2 linked regions of the Drosophila melanogaster genome follow. The protein of the gene in region 1 purifies or fractionates together with the protein of each later gene. This does not show direct contact. Each region holds a gene or a part of one and is shown in the gene's direction. Other genes may lie near its edges. The genes, in order: CkIalpha and CG15710.

Region 1 (9,452 bases):
ATAGAAATCGGGATATAAAATCTAAAGTGCACTACAAACATATAGGCTAAAAATGAAACTTCACAACAACAAAGTAAAAATTAGATTTAGTTGATTAACTAACTTTAAAAGTTAGCCAGCGCCTTCACTGTACATAAAAGCTCACTGAAATTTGTCTTTGTTTGCACACTAGTTTTGCTAACCCTTTTGTTGAGTGTCTCTGAAAAGTATGCAACACTCTCATCACCAACGCGCACACCAACACAGATTACACCTACACAACCACACCCACTCGGCACAAAAATAGAACAACAGAGAAATTGCAAAAAAAAAAACGAAAACAAAACTCGAAAAAGTAACCAAACCAACGAAATGTGAAAGAGATGGCCATTCAATCATTTAGTGCATTTATCTCTCTGTCTCTCTCTCTCTCTGTCTTCCTCTCTATCTATCTCTCTCTATCTCTGACTATGTGTGTGAATCTCTCTATCTCTCTCTCCCATGTCTCCCACAATTATTGTTTATGTATATTTTGCAATTGCTCAGATCAACGGCAGCGGAGTTGCAACTGCAGCACCGCAGCAGCAACAGCAGCAGCAGCAACAGTTGCAGCAATCACAGCAACAACAGCAGCAGCAGCTACAGCAGCAACAGCAGCAGCAGCAACAACAACAGCAGCAGCAGCAACAACAACAACAATCGTTAGGTGGTGATCCTGGTGATCATGCAACATCGACGTCAGCGGGAGCAGCAACATTGGCGGGATCCTCCATTTACGGTGCAGATGATGCAGGTGCGGGTGTTGCTAGTGGCGGTGTTGGTGTTGGTGGTATTAGCAGTGCGATTAGCGGTGGATTTGGTGGTGCGGCTGAGCCGCAACAGCAGCAACAGGTGTCGCAACAGTTGCATCAATTACAGCAACTACAGCAGCAATCGCAGCAGCAGCAGCAATCGTTTGAGGCGTCTTGTGATCCATGGGGCGGCGAGTGCGGCGGTGGTGGTGCTGGCGGCAGCGGCGGCGGCGGTGGTGCAAGCGGTGGTGGTGGTGCTAGCGGTGCAGGTGCGCAACAACATCAATATCAGCATCCGCATCCGTATCCGCATCCGCATCCGTATCCGCATCAAACATCCGTTATACAGCAACAGCAGTCAGTGACATCGTACGAATCCCTAAAAAAGTCCAAATCACAAGGTGGGAGCACAACAGAGCACTACAGTAAACAACAGCTAACAGCAACCACTACAACAACTACAACAACAACAATAGCAACCAAATATAACAGCAAGCAATACAAGCAACAACAACAGCAAAACAACAACCTAAACAGCAACCAACCAAATAATCAGATTGCACCTCTAGTCATGAAAAAAAAAAACAATTCGCATATTTTTTTTTACCAGTATACCACGCACACACACACGAACACACACTTTAAGTGCAGTTGAACTTCTCTATCGCGACCAACGAGTGTTTTTGACAGAGTAGCATATATATGCGTATATGCGGGCAATAGTCTGCAATGCAATGGCAGTTTAGAAGTTCGACTGTGTCTCTGTCTGTCTCTTTCTTTTTCGCGCACACACACGGTCACACCGCATACGCACACAACCAAGCAAACGCACACGCACGCACACACGCACACATGAATATGGACAGCAGACGATGCACGTTGCTTGTGGCCCCGCCCCCTTTCTCTGTATATGTGCGTGTCTGTCTGCGTATTTTGGTGTGTATGTGTGTGTGCGTGTTAAATTTGAAATTTTTGGAAAATTATTGGTATATTCCGTTTTGATTATATTTATGTTTCAGTATATATATATATATACATTTGTTTCATGGGGTTTTTGTGAGGGGGGGCGATGGCTGGAGCTGTCTGTCTCTTTTTCTCGCTCGTTCGCTCGCTCGCTCGCTCGCTCTCTATTTCTCTCTCTCTCTCTCTCTCTCTGTCTTTCTCTAGCCCTAGAAAACAATCTAGTTATAACAGTGCATATGAATATGTTCTCTCGATCTGTCTCGCTCGCTCGTTCGCTCTCTGCTCGCTGTCTCTTTTTTCCTTACTCTTACTATCTCACTTTATCCTTTACCTCTTGCTACTGTCTCCAACTATGTCTGTCTCTTTCGCTCTGTGACACTTTCTCTCTCTATATTCTCTCTCGGTATTTGTTCTTGCATTTGAAACCGAATAACTAAACGAAGAATAAGACTTACCGGATTTCTATAAAGATACATTTGGAAAAGAGTACAACAAGATCTGATTTTGTATTGGCAAAAAAAAAATATTTAACTTACGCATAGTCCTCACACACATGCACACTAACACACCCACACACACATCCATACAATAACGCCTAGCTAAGCACACATGCAAGCAACTTTCACTCGTACTTTTTTTTTGAGATTTTTTTTTTCTTTTACCTAGTCAACGCGCCTGCTGCTTTCAAAATTGCACTCACAGCCAGAAAGTTAGAAAACTCCGTGGAAAACTTACTCGGAAAATAGTACAAAAACAATAAATATTACAAAATAACAGTCGCTCGCAGTTACAGATATAATGTCTTCCATTCTTTAAAACGAACATTCCTTAATCGCTGAAGAATGGCTCAAAAAGTTTTAAATGTAAACTGAAAACGTAACCTTTTTATTATTTAATATTTGAAACACTTAAATTCTGCGAGCGACTGAAAACCACATTAACAAACACATTCACATGGAAAGCACACAGATCAATTAACAACCATTAGGCAGCCTAGCGGTACTTTAGTGTTGTGCAGCTCAAAAAAAAAAGCATAAAAAAACTTAGCGCAAAATCGCAATTGCAATTAGATAATAAAGAAAATTCGATTAAATATCTAAGCAATAGTTTTGCCTACTACCGCCCGCCGCTTTTACTCCTCTCTCTCTCTCTATCTATCTATCTATCTCTATCTCTCTTTATCACTCTATCTCTCTCTATTTCTGTATCCGCCTGTTTCTTTTCACAATATTTATGAACGTATGTAACGATTTTAATGTAACTCGTTTATTTATCTCTTTCTTCTATCTATGGCATACAATCCATCAAAAACAAAAAACCAAAATCACTTTCTGATTCCCAAAACCAAACCCGAATAAATTACAGATAAATTGGATGGAACTTTCTCAAGATCCAGATCATCGTCAATGTCCAGCATTGATATGTCTTCCTCTGAATCTGTTACCTGTTTAGCTTTTATCGAGAGTTATGCAAAACGAAATGGTAAGACTGATCGGTGATTAGATTATATCTTAACATCTATACATATATTTAACATTGTTTTTACTTAGATATTTTGACACTTGTTCCTACTTTGTGGATTGGAACTAGTTTCGGTTCGATACTGACATTGTTCATCACCATGCCCGAGCGAGATGTGCGCAAATCTCAGCCAGTATTGATAACAATAAATGGTAAGTGATAAAGCCACGCACATAAATGAAAACCTTTTTAAATATCTTCTCCTTTTTTCAGGTGGCCCCGTGGTACGACTCAAAGGATCCATAACTTCCATGTCTTTTTTAGACTCATACGGTTCGATCATACCCTATACGTTTGAGACCTGGCGTGACGAGAAGAGGGACAACAAAGATCGTAAGCATCTCGACTTCATACCACATTGATCTGATGCCCCCGACTAATCCACATATATATCCAATATGATTTCAAGGCACACCAACAAAGAGCAGCAGCCGCACCAGTCCCACATTCACACCGACAACTGCCAATACATTATCAAACACTTCGGTCGCGGGTGGTGCGTCCGCAGGCGGAGGAGCTGGCGGCGGTGGTGGTGCCGGCGGTGGTGCGGCCAGCGGTGGCGCAGCCGCAGGAGGGCCAGCCGGCGGTGGTGCCGGAGCAGGATCGGCGGCTGGAGCGGCCGGCGGCGTTGGAAGCGGTGTAACCAGCGGCGGGGGGATGAGCAGCAGCAGCGCCAGCAGCAGCGGCATCAGCGGAAGTGTGAGCACCGGCCTGGAAACTCTCACCGATCGACAATACATCGTTATCGCAAGCGAGAAGCAAACAAAAGTCTTCGATGTCGCCAACCAGTGCTGCATCAACCGCATACAATTATCGGAAATGGATTTTGCAGTCAAGGCAGAAACTATCACGATGAAAGGTGACTTTCACTTTGTTTTATTTTCATTTTATTAGTGGAGCAAGAAAGTCATAATTTGTTGTAATTAGTGCAATTGATTGTAATTAATACATATATCAACGTTCCCTTCATTCCAGATGGCTCTTGCTTAGCAACCTATCTTTCGAATGGCCATCTAATGGTACATAGTCTTCCTAGTCTAAAACTGTTATTGGATACTGATTTCTTACCACTTATGGAACTAAGGTGAGCCGTACACTTATAAGGTACTCTTAGCATTTTTACAACTAATGGTTCTATCGTCTATTTAGTTTTCAAACAAAATGTAAACAGGGAATTGTGGATCCAATGCTTTCGATATGGGGTCAACAGATCATTGTTCATGAAGATACAACTCAGTAAGTCCTAAGCTAAAATATATATTTTTATTTCCAACTTTTACTAATCTTGTTCCATTATCCACAGAATATCAAAAATATTTTGCTTTAGTCATAAAGGTCATGGATTGTACATGGCATCGCCCACCGAAATTCAAAAATTCACGATATCATCGGAATTTTGGTAAACCAAAACAAACATAATTCATTGTACTTTAAACATTGCATATTAATTTGTAATTCTTTCCCTTATTCAAGTCAATTTATTTTGGAGATGATGGGTGAACTATATACGGTACACGAAATGCCCGAACAGCCGAAGGAGGGTTTCTTCAAGGGTCTATTTGGTGGTGGCGCCAAACTCCTGGATCGCGAGGAGCTATGTGAGTAGATCTGCATCAGATCTGCATGTCGTTACCATCGATCATTTCAATAATCCGTACAATTCCTATCCCTATCCTTGCAGTTGGCGAGCAGAGCGGGAAACCGAATCGATCGGTGGCACGGCACATACCCGGCCCCAATTTGGAGCAGCTCGGCCAGAGGGCTTCCACCGCCGCATCGGAGATCAGCCGGGCGCACCAGCTGGCCATGGAGCGCGGCGAGAAGCTAAATTTGCTGGAGGAGCGCGCCGAGCGCATGGCCAACACTGCTCAAGATTTCAGCGGCACTGCGCATCAATTAATGCTTAAATATAAAGACAAGAAGTGGTATCAGTTGTAAAATATCTATTTTAGGAGCCAATTCTACCACAGTTATTGTAATATTGCTTTTATAACACTTTCTACTACATTACGAGTAAAGTACACTTATTTAATTTCTGTTTTCAAGTCGTCACGTTATTTACAAAAACCGAAAACCAACAAAAAAAAACAACAAAAACCGAAAATTCACAAAAACAAAAAAACTGAAAGAGAAAACCCAACCAAAAAAAAACTGTTTTTAATAAAAATATATAGACCAAAAAACAGGCACTGTGGAGTCTTAATGTATTCATGAATATTGTGGGTTATTAAAGTATTTTTAATTTGATTTCTTTGTTTCACATGTTTTATACGCTCGAACAAAGTGGGTGCTGCTTTCAATCGTTCTTTATAGTAACATCAACTCTGAGTAGACTTTAGTATCAGATTCGAACATAACAGCAGCACACGAGTGAAAAGTGTTTTCTGTTCCCCATTTGAATTATCCGCGCAGTGTTGTGTCAGTGCTGAAAATCGCCGCAGAGTCGCGAAGTCAATTTCAATCCGATAGTTTAGCAGTGTGCCACGGTGAAGTATCGTTTCTCGTTCATACCTATCTGAGCGTATCGTTCCACGATATCAGGTGGCAGTGTTTGGTTGAACCTATCGGGCCCTATCGATATAAGCAAAAGCATTTTTGCTGGATCTACCATTTTATTTTAGTTAATAAAATACATATATTTCCTCTCTTTTTGTTCCGTTTGTGCGCGTACAAAACTAGCTGCGAACTCGTGCAATATTTCATAAACTGAATGGGAAAACAACGATAACGACGAAAGAAAACGAAAACGGATCTGCGACGAAATTTTCCCCGTTCCGTTTTTTTTTCTCCACCAGCAGCAGAAGCAGCAGAGCAAAAGCAGCGAATATATTTGTAAAAGAGAGCCCCAACCTTGAGAAAAAACAACCAGCAGGGCAATAATTAGTTGAATTTATCGTCTGCTGGTAAGAAATGAACCCAAATGTGAACTTAGACCGTTTGATTTCCGCGAGGATCCATCATTTTTTCACCCATTTCGTCCAGTTTCAAATGCGTGCTAAATATGCTAACGTGTGTGTGTGTGTGATGGGTCTTCGATGGTGTGCGTGTCTCGCTGTGCGCTTCAATGTGTTGGTCTGCTTCTCACACTCTGCGTTCGTGTGTGTGTGTATATGTGTGCCTTCGAAATTTTCTTTTGTGTAAAACATTTGTAAGGTGCAACTGCAGCTGTGTGCGTGTGTGTGTATCGCTTTGACTGCCGTTGTTGTTTTTGTTGTTGTGCGTCATAGCAATGAGTGTGTGTGTGTGTGTAATATGCATTCCAACGGGGTAAGAAAGAAGAGGAAGCAGTACCTGTCGCCAATAAATATCGTATATCGATGTCTGTCTGTGTTTATTTAGAATTTCCCTTCAGCCCGCCCCCGTGCAAAAGGAAATATTGCTCCTCCTTCACCTCCATCACCTCAAGTAGGGATCAAGTGTAATCGATAATGCAGACATATCGATTGGTCCGTTGAGAAACATCAGAAAAACACGTAAAGTGCAAGCTGGAAAAGAAAAGCAAAACAAATTCCGGAGAGCAGAAAGAGAGGTGGAAAAGAAAGTGTTGAGAAAGGGATGACAGCAAAAAGAGGCTCTGGTGATATTAGTTAAATGTCAGCTGGTCTGTAAATCGTCGCGACATTTTGTGTTGGGGCAACTATTCAAAACTTTCCCAAAAACACTGTGAAACAACTCTAGAGAAGATACCACTCATTTTTCTTAAGGTTAAAATATAAAACAGTACACGATTACATTTTCTGGGATCCGCAAAACTGTTCGTTTTGTAATAGGTCCCTTTGTAGTATTAGAGTAATATAGTTGTTTAGATGAAGGGTGTTCAAGTGTCAGAATGATAATTAGTAACTCCTAGCGTTTAGTTCTTAACTTAATATATACAAAACATATAATGTTCCCAACCCATGCAGTTTTTCAAGTGAACGCGTCCAACTGTTTTTGAAGCGAAGCGCTTAGGCGGAGGAGCAGCTAGCCAGGATGGACAAGATGCGGATATTGAAGGAAAGTCGCCCCGAGATAATCGTCGGTGGCAAATATCGGGTGATCAGGAAGATTGGTAATTCAGCCGTGCGATTTTATCCCCACAATATTCTCTAATCTCTGAAAATTATTCACAGGAAGCGGATCGTTTGGCGACATTTACCTGGGCATGAGCATCCAGAGCGGCGAAGAAGTGGCCATCAAGATGGAGAGCGCCCACGCCCGCCATCCGCAGCTGTTGTACGAGGCCAAGCTGTACCGCATTCTGAGCGGCGGCGTTGGATTCCCTCGTATACGTCACCATGGCAAGGAAAAGAACTTCAACACCCTGGTCATGGACCTGCTGGGACCCTCGCTGGAGGATCTGTTCAATTTCTGTACGCGCCATTTCACAATCAAAACGGTTCTGATGCTCGTCGACCAGATGATCGGACGCTTGGAGTACATCCATCTCAAGTGCTTCATCCATCGCGACATCAAGCCGGATAACTTCCTAATGGGCATTGGTCGGCACTGCAATAAGCTGTTCCTGATCGATTTCGGTCTGGCCAAGAAGTTCCGCGATCCGCACACGCGCCATCACATCGTTTACCGCGAGGACAAGAACCTCACCGGCACTGCCCGCTATGCCTCGATCAATGCCCATCTGGGCATCGAGCAGTCGCGGCGTGACGACATGGAATCGCTTGGATACGTGATGATGTACTTCAATCGCGGCGTACTGCCATGGCAAGGCATGAAGGCCAACACCAAGCAGCAGAAATACGAGAAGATCTCCGAAAAGAAGATGTCCACGCCCATCGAGGTCCTCTGCAAGGGCTCGCCGGCCGAGTTCTCCATGTATCTGAACTATTGTCGTAGCCTGCGCTTCGAGGAGCAGCCAGATTACATGTACCTACGTCAATTGTTCCGGTGAGTACGATTAAATCATATATTGCATACGAATCTTAAGATTACACCCGATTGTTTTTGTGATAATGTTTGTGGTGATAATCATTGTGGAGGCTGTATTCGATATGTGTTTAGGTCATAGTTTTCTTGTTTTTTTTTTTTAATTCGAAATGATGTAACCCCAACTTTCTCTTTAATACAGCATACTGTTCAGAACGCTGAACCATCAGTATGACTACATCTACGACTGGACAATGCTGAAGCAGAAGACCCATCAGGGTCAACCCAATCCAGCTATACTCTTGGAGCAATTGGACAAGGACAAGGAGAAGCAGAACGGCAAGCCCCTGATCGCGGACTAAGAGCTGCAGCGCATTCAGACGAATGGGGGGAGTGCATCAGAGAAGGAGAACGTGGATGCGTGGATGTAAATGACGTTGATGTGGGCGAAAGGCCCGGCAAGGAGCGGAGCAAATATGAAACAGACGCAACCGTAAAATTGAGTAACACCAGCGGTCGTCCGAATGTTTCTTAATATTAATTTAAATTCAATACTAAACAAATAAGGAACCACAAACAAGCAAGCAACGGCATCATCAGCAGGGCATATAAAATGATACCCCAGCAAATGTGATTCACGAGTGAATCACTGCGATCGATAATAACATAAACCGAAATTATTGCAAATCAATACGATTTAAACTAATTTGCAATCCATACACAAATCAACATACTTGCATAACACACCCACACACACACATACATACACACACTCACCCACTCTCATCCACCCACTCAAAAAGCAAACATCATTGCCCAAAAGGGGGAGAAAAAAGAAAAGAAGAGAGAAGAAGAAAAGAAGAGGAAAGAAATCAACAACACTTAGCCTAATAAATTACAAGAAATAATATTGGTAGAGTTGGAGGAACAAAATGAAGTAATGCTGAGGAAACTAAACCTATATATATATGTATATGTATATATGTAAGCGAATAAACACAACACCATATATGTATGCATATACCCATTTGATTCACGTCAAATCGAATCCAATGCTTAATTATGAATCGAGCGAAACAAAACTCAATAACTAATTAAAATGGAATAAATAAGAAACAAAACAGCAACAAGCAAACAACAACACAAAAAAACAACAAACAAATAAGAATAAACAATAAAAAAAAATTAATAAAACACACCGAGAAAAGCAAACAAAAAAAATATAGTGGAGGATGCGGAGGAGAAACAACCAAGCAAAGCCAACTGAGATGGGGGAAAATATAAAATAAAAGCAGCAACAAGAGTAAAACAAGCAAATAATAATTATAATGA
Region 2 (9,266 bases), on another chromosome or scaffold:
CGGAAAAGTGGCGGACGAGTCCACAGCTAACCAACTGTTCAACAGCAATTGCAATTGCAATTGAGGTTGCAGTCGCACGAATGTTCCAGGAAACCCTTAAATATGATTATGGCATACGAAAGGCCTACGAGCAGAGAGTCACTTTTCATGGTGGCGCTGATTTTTTCTGTTGGCCATCTTCGCTGGAATCTTTGCGGCACACGTTCGGTTGCTTTTTGCCCAAAAGATTTCCACGAACTGGATTTAATTGTCACACATTACGGAACCACAATTACATAGAAAAATGCGCCAGCCAGCCAGCGGAAATGGCAACAATGCAAATGCAGCCACTGCAGCAAATAATAACCACCGACTGTGGCCAGCAAGGACCTTCGCCTCCTATCCTCTTCCACCCCTCAAATAAAATGCGCCATTTGCAATTGTAGTTTATTTTAATACCGCAATTAGTGTTGTTCTCCGGGCGGAGTGGTGGAGTGCTGGAGTATTTGTGGTTCGGTGGTTTGAGCACGCAATTGTTGGAAAGGTTGGAATATCCTGGCGGATCCTGCCACGTTGCCATGTTGCCACACCATTTGAGGTGGCCGCATAAATATATATGTATGTATATATGATGATACAAGGTATGCAAAGTTTTTCCGGTATAAATGTACGATTACCAGTCTTTTTGCACTAACGCAATTGAAAAGCTGTCCATTTGGAAGCTCGGCCATTTGGAATTATTTGTGCCGCAGCCGCTGTTAATTGATTTTTAAGTGCCAACTGCAATCAGGTACTTCGATATGCATCAGGTGACACATGCAGGCTCAAATTATTTTCATCCAGCCTCGGAAAAAAGCGTTAATGTAATCAGCGAAGAAAAAAATGTTTGCAGAATACCCTTTTTAAGCAAAAACGAGATGAAAAACCTTGACGTTTAGCAAATGAAACCACTTCGGTTTTAATCTCCATTAAACATTAACTTTTCAGTAATATTGTAGCATTTTATGCAAACTAGAAGTTTTAATCATGATATGAAAAATCTTCCTAAGTTCACTAATACATCTGTTAACTATGATTTTCTTGTGTTTTTTGTTAAATTACAAAGTTGGCCTAAAATGAATAATTAATTTTCAGTGGTATATACATAACCCTTTGATATCTCTTAGGATTTTGAAGCACTCCATAACATCAGACAATATCAATCCGATTGAAAGTTAATTGCTCACCTCGCTGATCCCCTCGATTGGTTTTTCCTTCTCTTTTTTTCTGTTCTATGTGCAACGGGTGTAATCACATTTTATGTTGAACGCACTTAATTTTTTGCTCCAACTAAATGCCAATTAAAATGCGTAATTATTTTTTAATGGCATTTTGTGGTCAATATCGGACGATTGACGATGATTGCACAGCGGTGGATCTGCGGAGTTGTGGAACTCCACTCCGATGACGGGATGCCGTCGTGACAATTCACATTTATGACGAGCAAATGGCCAGTATCCATATCAATTGCATGACTTGTCAAAGCGGCGCCCGCCTAAAAGAAAAGTGCCTCACATGGGATCGCATGTGTGCGTGTGTGTGTTTGTGTGTGTGTGTGTGGTGGGGGTGGGTTAAAATCGCCAGCAATTGCAGTTCAAGCAAGGAATCGCAATAAGGACTCCGATGTCCTGCAGCCATGTTTCCCTGGCAAATGAAATTCGAGCAATCATCGCCATCAACATTTCGCTTTACTTCAAAAGGGACACGGCGGCAACATGCCGCAAGTGACAATCATTTATATTTAATAAACAACTAACGCATGCAGGACACACAGCAGCGGCCAAGTAAATAGCACTCAAGGCGTGAATGTGGTTTTCCTGGTTTTTAGTCCTTGAACAAGTTCAAATGAAGTTCAATGCTTTATATATAAAAATTGAATAAATATGGCACATTCATAAATAATACCACTTGAAAAAATTATATTTGTATTTTCAATATATTTCTTTCCCAATATGCTTTGTATTTTTATGAATACTACTTGAAATTACAAAATAAAGGTGGCAATTAGTGAATTGTAAGGCACTTATTATTTTCCTTTGTTTTTGAGCTAAATAAATTCCAATTCCAATTGCTTGCCAGTTGCTGTAAGACCTACGATTGGTGGGGGCGGGAAAGTGGGGAAAAGCCGTTCGGAAAAACAACAGCAAGATGACGAGACTAAGCGGCCATTGTCTCCGCCCCCCTTCGAACCCCGCCCCCTTTGCAATGGAAATTGTTTACCATGCATTTTGTTCGATTCCGAGTCGAGGCGTCTGAATAATGCAGCAGGTAGTATACGCTGATGGAAAAGCGGAAAAGCGGGCGTGGAAAATGGGGGGGCGGTCAAGTAAATAAGCGAGCATGAAAGCGAAGACGAAAACAAAATGGGGCAGATAAAAACAACAACAACAACAACAACGCCAAAAGGACAACAATGCTGCAGACACAAAACCGCTTCGAATCGCTTTGGGCGGCATTCAAATTGAATATTGAAAGCATCGAGCACAAAACTGCCAAACGCTTGAATTATGCATTAATGATGTCTGCCACACTGGACAATATAGTGAAGGGGTGGCGGGGGAGTAAAGGGGGCAAGGATTGAGGGGCGTTTGCAGGATACAAGGGGTTTTTTTTTTTTGAAGCCAGGGACAAGAACAACGGCAATGCGTCGTCCTCGTCGACTGACCATCGCTTATTAATTTTTTATGCGTCTGCTATTTTTATGGTCGACATGAAAGCGTTGGCCACAAGCCTTTTATTTTCCTGACCATTTTCGGCTAGCTTTCAATAGTTTTTCACCGAAATTTCCATTTCAACCAGACGCGAGTTTGCGTTGAAAAAGTTACTAAAACTTATCCTACATAGGAGATTTTATTAGAAGAGATACTACCTTTTAAAGTCAAACGCTTAGAATAATTTATAAGGCTGATTATTTATTCCTGGCTTTTTAAAATAATTTAAAGATAAAGATTTCCAGCTTCATTGATATAGAAATGTCAAAAAAGTTCTATAGCACACGACAGTCATACATTTATTTAACCAATTAAAGCGATTCGAAATGGCATGGTGTTTAAGTGCTATTGCCATGTCGCGCACTGTCAATACAATGTCAATATGCATTGTTCGCTAATGTATCGCCAACAAAGTTTTACGCTTTTTGTCGCCAGATTTTCCCTTTGGCTTAATTCCGTTTGAACGACGAACGTTGCGTTGGACAGGATTTTGTCCTGCAAATAAAACGCGCCCTTGACAATGGCCGTCAATATGCCGATATCGGTGGACAGAAAGACGTTAATTACCAACATTACCGCGCGCCCAATTATCAACCGCACAAATCAGCGGTGATGTAGGTACGGGTAACCTGATGCACCGTGTGCGGGGCAATGGAAAACTCATTACATGCCACAGGAGCCATCATCCGTGATTCGAAAGATAGCACATAGGTGGAGCGATGGAGCACAGGGGCAGGTGGCCAGGCGCCACGCCCACAAGGAGCGACCGCAACATGCTGTAATGCGTGGCTCTATCAGCATTTGCATGTGCAGCTGGAGCTGGAGCTAAATGCGCCCGATACTTAAAGCCAACTAAAGGCCATATGTTAGCCTACACTGCCAAAGGACAAACTTAATGTCAACACGCTAATCTGTCAGTCGGCAGGAGTTGCAGCGCAGGATGCGAGATGCAGGGCGCGGAATGGGGGATACTGGCATGGCGGGGAGTTGGGAGTGCGACTGCAAAGGATCTGCCACAATGTCAGGCCACTTAAGGAGCGCTGAATCGCAGCGCCTCGCTGCACAGGAACTCAAGGATATTGGAAGTGGGCGGAAAATGGGCGGGGAACACTCCCAGAAAATGCAGCGATTCTTAGACAAACTTCAATCCTTGGAACTTGATTAGCTATTATTACTTAAGGCAAACGATTAAAAAAGCTTCTGCGTAAAGGATTAGTAGAAAGATATAAAAGAATCCCATATTCTGTTAATCTGAAATCAACAGATTCTGAAATGAAAAATATTCATATTTCAGATAGCTTACTTCAAAATAACTAAAAAGAATAGCCTAAATGGTTTAAAAAGCATATAATACATTCAAGAATAGTGTATGCTTTTTAAATAATTCACAATCTTTTGAGGAAATACCAACAACCCAACTTCGCGCTGCTTAAAATTAATGATAAGTATGTTTAATATTTATAGAAAATTATTTGCTAGTGTATCGCCGCCTGGATGGCGCAACAATAATGCTGGACCCTTTGAAATGACAAAAATTGGTTGCTCTCCGTGCGGCTTGACGCCTGACTTGGCAGGAGACACTCGAGGGCACCACAAATGCCAAGCCGTCACCCACCCAGGCACCCAACTAAACACCCACTGCTCCTACAAGCAACGTCCTCCCCCCGCGAAGGACGCGTCTTATCAACTATGCAGGGCTTTGTCTCTAAGCGATTGCAGGCGCCACCCCCCCTTTCCCTTCCAACCTGCCCCTGCCCCCTTTTGCTCCACGCAGTCAGCGTCTTTTGTTGCGCTTAATGAATTTTACGTAAATTTTACGAGCGCTGATTTCTGGCAGCAGCAGCACCACCCCAGCTATTAATCCACACTTTGGCGAGAGCACCACCCCCAGTGGATGGGTAAATTAGTGGGTGGTTGGGTGGTTAGTGGGTGGATGAGACTGGTGCTCTCCTGGTTGTGCGTGTGTAATGACAAGTTCAACAACAACTCGACATTGTCGACTGGTGACGAGGACGACGTGCTCCGACATTTGTTTGCCCAAGTTATGCAAATATTTTTCCAGTCAAGAAGTTTTTGTTTAATTGCATATTTTGACTCGCATTACGCGTGTCATAAAGCAGGGATCCGGAGCTTACCACAATGCCAGAAGTTGGGCGGGGATTAGAGGCACTCGAAAGACATGTTCCTGCATTTTACAGTTCAAAGACCAAACTAAACAATCAGTTTTACGAGTATAGATCTTATTCTGCCCAGGCTTGCCATTGAACTATAGCTATCTTCCTTAGAAATTAATTTAAATTAAATTTATATTTAAGTCTCTAAGATGATATTTTAAAAATAATTCCTAACACAGACGAAATCATGGAGAAGCCTTTAATATGGTTCATAAAACATAATTTATTTGCTGCGTTCGAAACTGTGAAGCTGACCTACTTCATTTAAAAACGAAATTAAACCGAATATATATAGTATGTATACTTCTGCTTTAGACAGTAAAAATGCATGAAGATTGTTTGCTTAATTGGTTAAACTAAATGATGGCTAAATATATTACCACCTCATTTATGGTAATCCGAATAAAACGTTTAATTTTTTTTTGGAGGAAAGCGTTGGATTCGAATTTCATTGCCTGGACAAATTTAAAAAGTTTACATTTTTGAGGCATACCTATCGCGTATACGCTTTCTTTCTTTTCCAGCCCTGACAGTTTCCGAGTATCGAGTATCGAGTATTACTTTCTATCTTTCAATGACAATGACCGGCGACTTTCTCACTTTCTTCGTACGCTTCTTACTGGCGAAACACAAGAGCCCACAAAGGATTATGACAAGTGCTGGCAACTGGATTTCCGAGGAGCTGGAACCAGCTACTCTACTGTCGATTCAGGAGGATAATGGTATTGTTACCAAGGTGTACGTGGCGCCCTGTTTGCAGCCGATAAAAGAGGAGAAAGTTTTCCTGGAGGACAACACGCAACGCTTCCACTGTCCGCTTTGCTCTAATGTGATTCGCACGGCCGGTGCCTACAAGGTCCATCTGATGGCCTGCCAAAGACGCTTGGCACGCATGATGAAGGATGTGCCGGACGTGTCCCAGCATCAGTGCAACATTTGCAAGAAAATCTTCTCCTCGGTGGATGCCCTGATCGGCCACAGGCTCCTGCATGGAAGCCCATCAATGAATCGCACCTGTGCATCCTGCCATGTCAAGTTCGGGACGGATCTGGAGTATCGCACCCATTTGGAGAGCCATCTGATACCGTGCGAGTCCACGGATGAATCCTACGAAGGGGCGTACACCATCACCAAGACCTTCAATTGCGTCTTTTGTCGCACGGAGTTCAAGGCCTGCTTTAAGCCTGGCCAAGTGACCCGTCGATACGCGTGCGACGCATGTATCGTAAGGCTGAAGGCCCAGGAGGAGGAGAAAAAGATCTTAGGGAAGAGAAGGCCCGAATTAATCTGTGATCGTTGTGGGAAAAAGTACAAATATGAGGGTTTCCTTCACCGTCATCTGAAAACTTGCCAGATGCCGGATAAATGCAAAAGAAAGCGTGAGATTGAAATCACCGAGGTCAGCGAGGTAACATTTACAGAAGTTGTGCAAAGTTTTAATAATTGATTATACAAATTCGCACATTTTAATTTTAAATTAAATAAATATATTTTTTAATTGTAATATTTTTTATAATTTTCAAATTATGGCGCCCATCCCACCGATATCTATTTCGATCTGCTATCGATGTGGTCACACTTATCGATAAATCCACCGTGGCGTGGTATTTTTGATTTAAAGCGTTAGTCGATTTCCCGCCCAGCTGCACGTGTATATTTTTTTGCGGTCCAAAGAAAAGTTCGTAAATAAACGAATTTGCGTGCATTTCCAGCGAACACGATGAGTTCAGACGAGTCCAGCGACGGTTTGGAGGAGCTGCAGAGTCTGAAGGCCCTCTACGGCCAGCAGGAGCAAGAGAAACCGGCAAAGATCAAAAGGGAACGTTATATTCCAAAGGCCTCGCAGGCCAAGGAGCTCAACTATGTGGAGGTGCCCATGGAAAAGGTGCTCTTCGGCGACAGGCAGCGACTGCTCACCAATCTAGCCAAGTCCGTGGGACAAAAGTTGCCGAACGATGACGAAGACGAGCAGGAGGAAAATCCCGGCCAGGCAAAGCCAGGCGACAAGCGGAAAGCCGCCTGGTCGGATTCCGATGACGAGGACCTGCAGGTGGGCGATGTCAAGAAGGCCACAAAGCACACGGGTCCACTGAACCACCTGCGCAAGGATAAATCGTACAAGGAGTATCTTACGGCGCGATTCCAGCGCACGCTTAACCAACCCAAGTGGGCGGAAAAGAAGGTCAAAAATGAGGACGACGAGGACGTATCCTCCGACGAAGAACTGCTGCGGACGGTTGGCTTTATCGATCGTAAAGCCCGGAACAGTGATCTGCCCCAGAAGACTCTGAATTTTAAACGGGTCAAAGACCTGAACAGGGCCACATATGCCGAGGGTAATGCCACCAGCATTCAGTTTCATCCAACCAGTACTGCTGCTCTAGTGGCGGGCATGAATGGCCTAGCCACCATCTACGCCGTGGATGGGCAAAAGAACGAAAGGTTGCACAACATGCGCTTCAAGAAGTTCCCGCTGGCGTGCTCCAGAATTGCTCCATGCGGCACAAGGGCGTTCTTTGGTTCTGTGAAACCATTCTACTACTCCTACGACTTGCTGGAAGCCAAGGAATCGAAGCTAAAGCTGCCGGGCGCAATGGAATTTATGCACCGCTTTGAGGTGTCTCCATGTGGCAAATTTATCGTCACTGCTGGCAAGTTTGGAGCCATTCACCTGCTCACGGCCAAAACAAATGAGCTGCTGCACAGCTTCAAGCAGGAGGGCAAAGTGAAGGGATTCACATGGTCTAGTGACTCCAAGAGGATCCTCGTCTGCGGTTCCACTTCCAATGTCAGCGTGCTGAACCTGCGCCAGAACCTCATCGAGCACATCTTCATGGACGACGGCTGTATACATGGAGAGTCCATTCAACTGTCTCCCAACCAACGCCTACTGGCCACCGGCAGTCAAGAGGGCGTGGTCAACATCTACGACTACGAGAGCATTTTCGCATCCAAGGCCCCACAACCCGAGAAGCGCTTCATGAACCTACGGACTGCCATCACGGATCTCCAGTTCAATCACTCATCTGAGCTACTGGCGATGTGCTCCAGTGAGGCGCCGAATGCTTTTAAGCTGGCCCATTTCCCCAGCGCCACTGTGTACTCCAATTTCCCGGCACAGAACGAGAAGGTTGGCTTTGTGACCTCCATGGCCTTTTCGCCGCACAGCAGCTTCCTGGCCTTTGCCACTAAGGGCAAACAGGTGCCGCTCTTTAGGCTTAAGTACTTCAAGGGTTATTAATTGAAGGCAGTATGATGTTTACAATAAATTCTTAAATAAAATCATTACTCTTTCTGTGGTTACAATGGAACCATCTTTATTTAAGTTAACAAATTAAGGGGACTTATCTTTAGAAAGGAGCTCGGAAAATATCGCGTTTCTGGGAGTCTTGAATCTTGCCAATGTCTTCCAGCTTCTTGCTGATGTTCGTCGACTGCGATTCGATCCACTGCAACGAATTCATATGGGCATTAAGGATTTTTCCGATCTGTATGATGGGATCAGTGGTGTCCTGGCCCTTGTTGGCCTCGTTCAAGTTGTCTATTATCTCCTTTAGATCCTCGGACATCTGCTTCAGTTGTGTGTCCAGATTCTCCACCATCAGGTAGGTTTGGCTGCGTTCCATGTCCACCCTCGGGAGATTAACGAATTCCTTCTCAAGCGGTCCCAGGCTGTCCTCAAGCTCTTTTTGCTGCGTGGCTATAAACTCCAGCTCCTGGTCCAGCACTTGCTGATCGGTTTTCACTTTTTTCACGGCATCGTTGAGCTCGACGATCTTCCCGTTGTTGCTGATGAGCAGTTTGTCCCATGCGTTGATCTGAGTGGCCTGTTCGGTGAATACCTTTTCCTGTTCCTCGAACTCGAGAGTCCACTTGTTGATATGCTCCTCAAGTTGGTGGTAGGACAATTGGGATGCCGTGGAAACGGCCGATGAGTCTGTGGTCTTGGTTTCGGTAGTGAGATTGGCAAAAGCACCACCAGTACTTAAAGTTGGGGCCGGTGCAGCTCCCTGCGTGGAGGCTATGGCCGACGGAGCTGCAGTCAGAGTTGTGGACGCAGCGGCCGTGGTCTTGGGAGCTCCCAATCCAGACCCGCCCAGCAATCCAGTTGTGGTAGCTGCGGTGTTGGGTGCACTGGTTGCTATAGTTGGCACCACAGATGCCGCTGGTTGAGCCGTAAAGCCTCCGAAGGCGGGAGGAGCAGCAGAGGTTCCAGTCGCGGTCGCAGAAGTGGTGGACGCTGGATTTGCGGCGGCTTGAGTGCCCAGCGTGAGGGGAGCTGAAGCAGTCCCGGATCCCAGGCCAAATCCAAAGGCTGGTGGAGCCTGCGCCTTGCTGTTGTCTGCATCTCCGCCACCGATAC

The links.
Region 2: the proteins of CkIalpha (region 1) and CG15710 purify together in Drosophila melanogaster (affinity purification with mass spectrometry, with the first as the bait; one large-scale study listed by BioGRID). This does not show direct contact.

Annotation. Positions count from the first base shown.
Region 1 is NC_004354.4:12,648,012-12,657,463, forward strand, and holds the start of CkIalpha (casein kinase ialpha), read left to right. Parts: upstream 1-5,788; 5' UTR 5,789-6,157; intron 6,158-6,387; exon of another isoform or gene 6,388-6,521; intron 6,522-6,688; exon of another isoform or gene 6,689-6,958; intron 6,959-7,159; 5' UTR 7,160-7,226; coding exon 7,227-7,305; intron 7,306-7,366; coding exon 7,367-8,141; intron 8,142-8,322; coding exon 8,323-8,482; 3' UTR 8,483-9,452. Other genes in the region: tomosyn, read left to right, coding at 3,099-3,215, 3,284-3,406, 3,468-3,587, 3,664-4,113, 4,230-4,338, 4,404-4,490, 4,558-4,653, 4,728-4,852 and 1 more. UniProt on the Drosophila melanogaster protein: Casein kinases are operationally defined by their preferential utilization of acidic proteins such as caseins as substrates. Can phosphorylate a large number of proteins. Negative regulator of wg signaling.
Region 2 is NT_033778.4:16,344,753-16,354,018, reverse strand, and holds CG15710 (uncharacterized protein), read left to right. Parts: upstream 1-5,491; 5' UTR 5,492-5,552; coding exon 5,553-6,350; 3' UTR 6,351-6,405; downstream 6,406-9,266. Other genes in the region: wcd (wicked), read left to right, coding at 6,624-8,144; Nup62 (nucleoporin 62kD), read right to left, coding at 8,254-9,266.